2 linked regions of the Chlamydomonas reinhardtii genome follow. The protein of the gene in region 2 binds, or shares a complex with, the protein of the main gene of each other region. Links are inferred from orthologs where the notes say so. Each region holds a gene or a part of one and is shown on either strand. Other genes may lie near its edges.

Region 1 (4,258 bases), on a different chromosome or scaffold from region 2:
GGGTAGCCATCCATGGGATGGTGTGTATCAAATATGAAGTGAAGTGCCGACGGCCAGAGGTACAGCGGGCACACGCGACGCATTCCATACCGTGGTGGGGGGGATGGCTGTCAGAGGGCAGCCGCCCTTGCGCCCACGCTCTCTGCATCGTCTGCGTGCCCCTGCCTCGCCACCAGCCCCCGCACTGCTGCTTGTGGCACCATCATGAGCCCACCCCTCGCTTACCCTCCCTGTCTGCGCCCCAGCCTTCCTGTCCCGGCCTTCCTGCCCCTCCCCCCGTCCTGTCCTGGCCCCCTTCTCTTCCTCCTCCCCGCCCCCCACCCACCTGGAATGTGTCCACGGGCAGCCGGTTGTCCATCTGCACCAGGTATAGCGAGTCCAGCCGCGGAGCCAGAGCCACGCACAGGTCGGGGCCGCCGCCAGAGTCCTGTGCGCGAGGGAAGGAAGCCCGCAAGACTATGTATGTGCATGTGTGTATGAGAATGAGAGCGCGAGAGCACAAATGAGGGGCAACTGCAAAGAACATGTGCGCACGAGAGGGGTAGCGGGGGGCGGTGCAAAGATGGGCAACAGTTGCACAGTGGACAGGCCCTCCTTTTCAAGGACGGCTAATACCCCGTCAGAGAAGGTGCGCGTACAGGGGAACAGGGTAAGCCCACAGGGTCGCCGACAATGCCCACACCGCCAGTCTCTTCCCGCAGCCCCCACCTCCTCCGCAAGGGTGGGCTGGTCACGAGCCTCTGGGCCTCAATTTCTTCCGCAATGGTTTTGGACTACCGGGAACTGTCAAACAAACACCTTCTCCCCTTTCCCTCCCGCACCTCTGTGTAGTTCAGGTCCAGCAGCGCTGTGCCGTCCAGGTACCCCGCCGCACAGCCCGCCACCAGGTCCCGCAGCGGCACACCCGCCGCCGCCAGCGCCAGCACAGCCGCGTTGATGGCGGCGCAGCGAGTGCCGCCGTCCGCCTGGAGCACCTGATAAATGGCGCCCATGCAAGACGGAGTGTTGGATCTCTTTCATGTCGCAGATGCGAAGTGCAGAGGGGAATGCTGGGCGCCGCGGCGTGTGCAATGTTGATGGCTGGCACATGAGGCATGCATGCGTGTATGTGTGTGTGCACGCAGACGAGTTCGGGGGTCGCCCTGGCACCGCTGACTTCCGCCTGGTTTCCACGTCAGCGCACATTCGAAAACCCGGCTACCTTCATATTGGCCCTGCTACGACGCGCCTGCTCGCTGGCCTTGCCTCGAGCCATTTGCACGTGCTGCGAGTTCTGGCCGCTGCTGTTCGGGCATGCTCGCTAGGTGGCTGACTGGACTCCGACAGCACGCACGCACGCACGCACGCATGCACGCACGCACGCACGCACGCATGCGCGCATATGCCTGCCTCGCCTCTGACTCCCCATCTCGTCGCACGGCTCGGGCATGTGCCCTCCCCTGCCTGCCTGCCTGTCCTGCATCGCCCACCTGCACGTACACGTCTATCTGGCTGCGCGGCAGCAGCTCCGTGATGACCGCCTGCTCCAGCGTGTTGCGGATCACCATGCTCAGCTCAGTAGAGCGCCGGTCGCCCTTGCCGCGACGCCGCCGTTCGCCTGCCCGGCACGCGAACGTGGGGAGGCGGGGGCGCAGTGCGTCCAGGCGTGGCGGGTTGAGGAGCGGCGGGGTGGGAGCATGGGAGCGGGGGGAGCAGGAGCTGGACTGCTGAGCTGCAGGACCTAGCTCTCATGCCCAGCGCTCCGTGCCCTGGCGGCGGAGCCGCTTTGGGTCCTCACACTTCATTCCGGCTCTGGCATGCGCCATGTGCACGGCCAAATAACCCCTCCTCACCCGCCCCGGGCCTCCTGACAAGCTTCGGGGCTTGTTTTGTGCCCTATGGCATTGACCAAGACCATCCTCCAGCCCTCTCTCTCCAGCCCTCCCTGCAGCCCTCTCCCCAGCCCTGTCGCGCCCTCACCCGTGCTGAAGGCCGCCATGGAGTACTCGCACACCACCAGCGCGCCCTCCTCCCGCAGCTCGGAGCGCCGGGTCACCGCGTGCGGCCCAAACACGGCTGCCAGCACCTGGAGCGGCCCCGGGGTCGTGAGGGCGTGTGGTCAGGTGGGGTTGGAGCCGACACGGGGCGGCTGGTTTACCGGGCTACCCCAAAGGGCCTAGGCACATACTGGAAGCATTGTGTGGGAACAGTGTGTGGAAACAGACACACAGTCATGGCCGGGCGAGCGCTTGTATGAAGCCCGGGTGCCACGTACTTGAGGGCATAGCTGTATGCGACATGAGCCTCGAGCGACTGGGCCGTGGGTGAATCCATGAATGTGGTGGCTGCAGCTAGCCTGCCACCCAAGCCTTCCCCCTGCCCCCGCTCCCGCACCTCCCCTGCCTGGGCTACCGCCCCCCTTGAACTCTACCCCCTCCCCCCCCCCCCACACACACACCTTGGTGTTGCCCATCTCGAATATGGCCGAGCCATCCGCGTTTGACAGCACGTCTAGCTGGCAGTTTATTCGCCGCAGCTCACGCGGCCGCCGGCCGTCCAGCCGCAGCCCCTCTGGCGAGACAAACTCCATGCTGCTTATGTGTTCGCCTCAGTCACCACTTCGTTGAGTGTAAAGCGTGTTGAATTTCGGAAGGCTGACGCTGGATATGTCAGGGGGCGAGCAGGGCTGCCGCCGATGTGGCCACGGCGTCAAGGCCCGGCAGAATTGAATAACACTAATGAATCGCGTTTTTGTATTTATATTGTTAGCAATTATATGGAGCTGGAAACCCCAAAGAAATGAAGGAGTGTAGAGGATTTTGCCTTGAAAGTCTGCTCGACAGTAACAAAAGCTTCCAGTCTGCAATAGAATAAAGTGAGTAGGGGTAATGTTAGCGCGTAATGCATGCACGGGCGAAACACAGCTCCGGCTTTGGGCTGGCGGGGGGACTCATCCCGCAAAACTTTGTCGAGGCGGGACTGGCTGGAGGGGGCATTAACAATTGTTCGAATACTGTATTACTTTTCCCTTGCCTTTCAGAGCTTCTACCAACGAAGAGTTGAAGTCCGTTGCCTCAAATTCTCTCTTCGGGGGAGGATGTTACCCCCAAGCTCCTCCCACGACCCTCAAAATGACGAGAACATACTAGCGAAGCCTCTGGTCAACGGGGAAGGCCCGCCAGCGGAGGACTCAGATGGCACAACAACGCTTTCAAGTCAGCCCGGCGCTCCCGAGAAGCCCAGCGTCGTCGACGTGTCCAGCGTTATTACGCAGGTCACGTCCGTCACAGCGCACAGGCCGGTGGCGCCCTTCCGCGTAGCCCAGCAACCACAGCCCAAAAGCTGGCGAAGGCGGTTCCGGTCGCTCCTCTGCTGCTTCGCACCGCAGAGCCAGGGGTACTTCCGGCATGCACAAGACGGAGAGTATAGCGGCGGTCGCTTTGTTCCGCCACAGCCCCCCAAGGTGCACCGGGAGCAGCTCATAGGGCCGAAACGGTCCGACGACCACAGCAAGAAGACCCTGGTGCTGGACCTCGACGAGACGCTGGTGCACTCCTCCTTCAAGCCTATCCCCAACCCGGGTGGGTCTCGTCGGGCAGGAACGAGAGAGCACTCGCTCCATCTCCTCCATGTCGCCGGCTGGTTGGGCTTCCGAATTGCATCCTTAAGAATGCTATGGTCGCCAGCAATCCATGGACATAGATCCTTGTTGTGTCGGGCGCGCGGCTGCTGTTCAGTGCACGCTTTAGTGAGCATCTCGGTCACGCATGCGCTGACATTTCCTGGCGGTCCGCGCTGCCTCAGACTATATCCTGCCGGTGGAGGTGGACGGCAAGCTAGTGGACGTGTACGTACTAAAGCGGCCGTGGTGCGACCACTTCATGGAGAGCGTCGGCGCGCGCTTCGAGGTGGTGGTGTTCACGGCCAGCCTCGCTAAGTACGCGGACCCGCTTTTAGACCTCCTCGACAAGCAGCAGCTCGTGCGGTGGCGGCTATTCCGGGAATCGTGTTTCCCCTACGAGGGCAACTACGTCAAGGACCTGAGCTGCCTGGGGCGAGACCTGTCGCAAACAATCATCGGTGAGCGCCGTTAGCGGCGAGCACACATGGCGCGTGCTGCCTCTGTGCAGAGGGGCAGCGGCAGGCGGGGCGCTATGCGGCGGCAGGGGGCCACCGGCTGTGCTATGGTGTGGTTTCCGTGGGGGTGGGACACACCGCTTGATGCACCGCCAACGGAGTAGGCTCTCTTTGTTCGGCCACGCCAGGATCATCGGTCCCT
Region 2 (3,956 bases):
CAGGGGCGATGGCGCCAAACATTTGATAGTGTTGGCGCCATGCACGGCGGGAGTGAGAGAGACGAGTTTGTCTGGGTCAAGGTCCGTTCAATGTCTGGAGTCTGGTCGTGAAATTGACAGTGTAGTTCGTTCGAGATGCCGTTACGTTTGAAGCCATATTCTACCCGAAAATCTTGAGGAGATGCCTACAGGGGCCGACCACTTGCGCCCTGCATCTCAAATGCCTATTGTTTTGAGCGGAGTCCTGGGTACGTGTGTGGCCGGGGGGCCCTGGTGTTCACCCGGTGGGGCCTTGCCGCGGCAGCGCAGCGAGAGCTTGCGGACCCCCATGCAGGCACGGTAGCGGTGTGTATAAGCTGGTGCTACATGGAGCATGCGGCTTGCGCGGCATGTTCCATACGCAACGGCGCGCGCTGCTGCGCTTGCTGGCATGCTGGGAGACGGAGCGGGGAAGTAGCTATTAAGTAGAGGGTGGGCCTCCGCAGGCCTCCAATATTTTTGAGTTGTAGTTCCCAAAAAGTTTGTTTGGGCTATCGCATATACATAGGTTTTGCACTGGTTGGATAGGGGAGGGCGGAGGGCGGCATGACGTGGCGGATGAGGTCTAGCCGTCAAGGTCGGCGCCGTCAAGGTTGGTGCCGTCAAGGTTGGTGCCGTCAAGGTTGGCGCGCATTGCCGATGGCCCGGGCGGTTTGTCTGGCGGGTGGCAATCGGTGACGGTGTTTGCCACTCCGGAAGAGTGATGAGACGTGGGCTCCCAAGGCTGTTGCACCAGCGGGTGCGGGGACAGACAACTGGGCGAAGAATCACAGGCTGGGACGGAAAGCGAGCCACGAGGCGGAAGAAGGATGCGGTGACCCGGATGAAGTGTTAATCTTGGCAGCATGCGCGTGAAGGTGTGGTCAAAGCGTCGTGTGCTGCGCGGGTGTGCCCTGCGCAAAGGCACCCTGTGTTGTTCCCAGCCCTTGCAGCGGGCCCAAGCTGACGTGCACGTCGGTATAACATCCGTGCAGGCGCACAAAAAGAGGCCCCTAATTTAAGAGTCGCACAACTGTAACATAATGTCGGTGTTGTAGACCGGAATACCATTTCAAAGGCAAACGCGGCCCTCATGCGCCCTCCTGTTGGGGCGAGCCAACAGCCGTGCCGCCAAAACACAGCTGCATGGAGTACAATCCGCTGGAAGCACTAACTAGTCGAATGCTATATACCGGCACTCACGACATTCACTGACAAACAGCGAATTAGACGCGAGATAGCAAGACGAGTCTTCAAGAATCAAGACACTGAACCTTTTCAGCAAGAAGCGACAAAATGATCTCGCAAGGATAGCATTTTATCGTTATACATATTGTTCTCGTTCAACGCGATAGCTAAACGTTGCGCGGCATAAGTACACAACTGTCTCGACCGCATACGTCTAATTGAGCACACGCATTGTTTTACTGCTACACATAAGACGTTGAAAGCAACTTAGCGCTCGGAGGTGAGCCATGGCGGCCGCCGGGGCCGTCGCCGTCAAGGTTCGCGCGCTGGTGCCCGGCGCCGACGTCGCGCTAATTGAGCGCGTTCTGAACGTCCACGATGCTCCGTCTAATACGACTTTCGTGTGTGTGGGCGACGAGATCAGCACGGAGGGGCAGGAGGGCTTCCTGCGCGGCCACGGCACGCAGGTCGTTGACGGAAAGCTCGTGGCGACCGTGTGCGGCGTTGTGGAGCGCGTGAACAAGCTCATCTACGTCAAGACACTCAACAGCCGCTACAACGCGGAGCAGGGTGACGTCGTGGTGGGCCGCGTGGCAGATCTGGCGGGCAAGGCCTGGCGGGTGGACCTCAAGTCGCGCCAGGAAGCCAAGCTGCTTCTATCCGCCGTGCATCTGCCCGGCGGCATCCAGCGCCGCCGCAACGCCGAGGATGAACTAAACATGCGGTCCTTCTTCCGCGAGGGCGAGCTCATCAGTGCCGAGGTGCAGTCCGTGCACGCGGACGGCAGCGTGGCGCTGCACACGCGCAGCGCCAAGTACGGCAAGCTGGTGTGCGGGCAGCTGCTGGAGGTGCCGCCAAACCTCATAAAGCGCCAGAAGCAGCACTTCCACACGCTCGAGGCTCTGGGCGTGGAGCTCATCATCGGCTGCAACGGCCTGGTATGGGTGGCGCCGCTGCGGCCGGACCGCCTAGCGGCGGCGAACGCCGCCGCAGGCGGCGGCGCCGGCTCCGCCGGCGCCGACGAGGACGAGGCGGCGGCGGCTGCGCCGCCGCCGCCGCCCAGCCGGATGCAGCTGGAGGTGGTATGCCGCATGGCGAACGCAATCCGTGTGCTAACACGGCTATACATGCCGGTGTACCCCGCGTCCATCATGGCCACCTACGAGGCGGCAGTGGAGGGCGAGGTGGCGCTGGCAGACATGATGGAGCCGGGCTTCCTGGAGGCGGTGGTGGGACAGGAGGCGCAGCGGCGCAGCAGCGCAATGCAGGAGTAGCTGCCGGGCTGGGCAGTGGGGCGGAGTGGGGAGGGACGGCGAGAGGAGGGGCAGGGGGGGGGCGGCAGCTGGAGGCAGCGGTACACGCCAGGGTGGAAGAAGCACGCGGGAACCCAAAAGATTAACTGCGCATGGCTGCGGCGATCGCATTTCCATTCAAGCTCATGCGTCAATGCTGGTGGGGCCCAGCTCGTACAGTTCGAGAGCGCCGTTGCGGGAGGAGACAGGGCTGGAGAGAAAGCTTAAGCTGAGGGCGCTGGGGTGTGTGACTGCACATACCGGAGTGCTGTTACTGACCATTCCCAACAGGGAAGGCAGTGCCGTGCGTCTGCTGGCAGCAGGAGGAACAGGGAAAGCAGGATGGTGGCGGTCGTTGCTGCCCATCCATTAGCAAGCGTGTGTCTGATGCTTTGGGCGCAGGGGGAGTGCGCTCGGTATGGTGTGGTAGACATGACCGGCGCTTGGCCTTGCGGCAAGCGTGTGCTGCTCGAGACTTGTGATGTATTAGAATATGCGGTCTCGTGCCTCCTGACGGACAGAAAGGATGAGTGAGCAGGCAAGTCTGTGCACATTGCCCTAAGCACCTGCTGCAGAGGTCTGTGAACAACGTACTGGATGAAGGGTGCGCTGGGGGCTGGACATTCTCGGACATAGGACAGTGCGCATTGGGCTTGGCGCTGGATTAGCATGTGGAGCTGGCCAAGCCAACTAGCCGCGGAGGGCACGCGAAGGGGCCGTGCTGTGCACGCTGTGGCGATGGAGCGCAGTGGTGGTGTTGTAAGCGAGCCATGTTAAACATGTCAGACTGCGGCTGTGCGGCATTGCGCATGCCTACCCATAATCCATCACGGTGCCTGACGCAGCAAGCAGCTTTGTCACCTCGACCCGCGAACTTGCAAAGAAGTGAAAGGACCGCATGCCGCGTGTGCGCAACGTACCTAGCCTAGGCAAAGTCCTAGGGCGGCTGTATACGGTAGTACACTAGGCACCGTACTCGTCAAAGGTCGTCAAGCAATGCATAAGATGAAGTTAAGTCATGAGCCCCTAGTGCACACACGTGTATGTACGGGCCGATTGAAACCTGCGGCACAGGCCACCAGCGGAAGCGGCCGCAGCCTCGGGTCAGGCACGGAGAAGCACGGTGCCTGGACGGCGTGGCGTGCTCGCACCAGCCGCCGCAATCAATCGCTACCTCCTTGCACGTGGCTCATGCCCGACGGTTTAGGGCCCCCAACACGCTGCAAGCCACTTCAGTATCTCAACTCAGCAAGGCACACAGGCTCACTCAGCTTTGGTGACCCAGTCGTCGTCCTCACCTCCTCTACCTACGGTTCCACACACGCGCTGACATCTCAACCCAAAAGACATTCCATCAGGCTCCAAAATTCAGGCCAGGTTTACACTTGCGGCATGCAACGAGCAGCGGACAAACACGATGAGCAATTTCTTGAATGCATGTGCAAATACATGCACACA

The links. Proteins that work in one complex are often made in the same cells at the same time.
Region 1: CHLRE_12g496450v5 (region 2) and CHLRE_06g284500v5 share a complex: the UniProt entries of both Arabidopsis thaliana proteins name them as parts of the RNA exosome complex. The link is inferred for Chlamydomonas reinhardtii from reciprocal best matches to the Arabidopsis thaliana genes RRP4 and RRP41.

What each region holds. Positions count from the first base shown.
Region 1 is NC_057009.1:5,460,090-5,464,347, reverse strand, and holds the start of CHLRE_06g284500v5 (uncharacterized protein), read right to left. Parts: upstream 2,871-4,258; 5' UTR 2,570-2,870; coding exon 2,438-2,569; intron 2,066-2,437; coding exon 1,960-2,065; intron 1,598-1,959; coding exon 1,470-1,597; intron 975-1,469; coding exon 822-974; intron 428-821; coding exon 326-427; intron 1-325. Other genes in the region: CHLRE_06g284450v5 (uncharacterized protein), read left to right, coding at 3,077-3,560, 3,784-4,059. UniProt on the Arabidopsis thaliana protein: Non-catalytic component of the RNA exosome complex which has 3'->5' exoribonuclease activity and participates in a multitude of cellular RNA processing, maturation and degradation events.
Region 2 is NC_057015.1:3,431,740-3,435,695, reverse strand, and holds CHLRE_12g496450v5 (uncharacterized protein), read left to right. Parts: upstream 1-1,216; 5' UTR 1,217-1,493; coding exon 1,494-2,480; 3' UTR 2,481-3,273; downstream 3,274-3,956. UniProt on the Arabidopsis thaliana protein: Non-catalytic component of the RNA exosome complex which has 3'->5' exoribonuclease activity and participates in a multitude of cellular RNA processing, maturation and degradation events.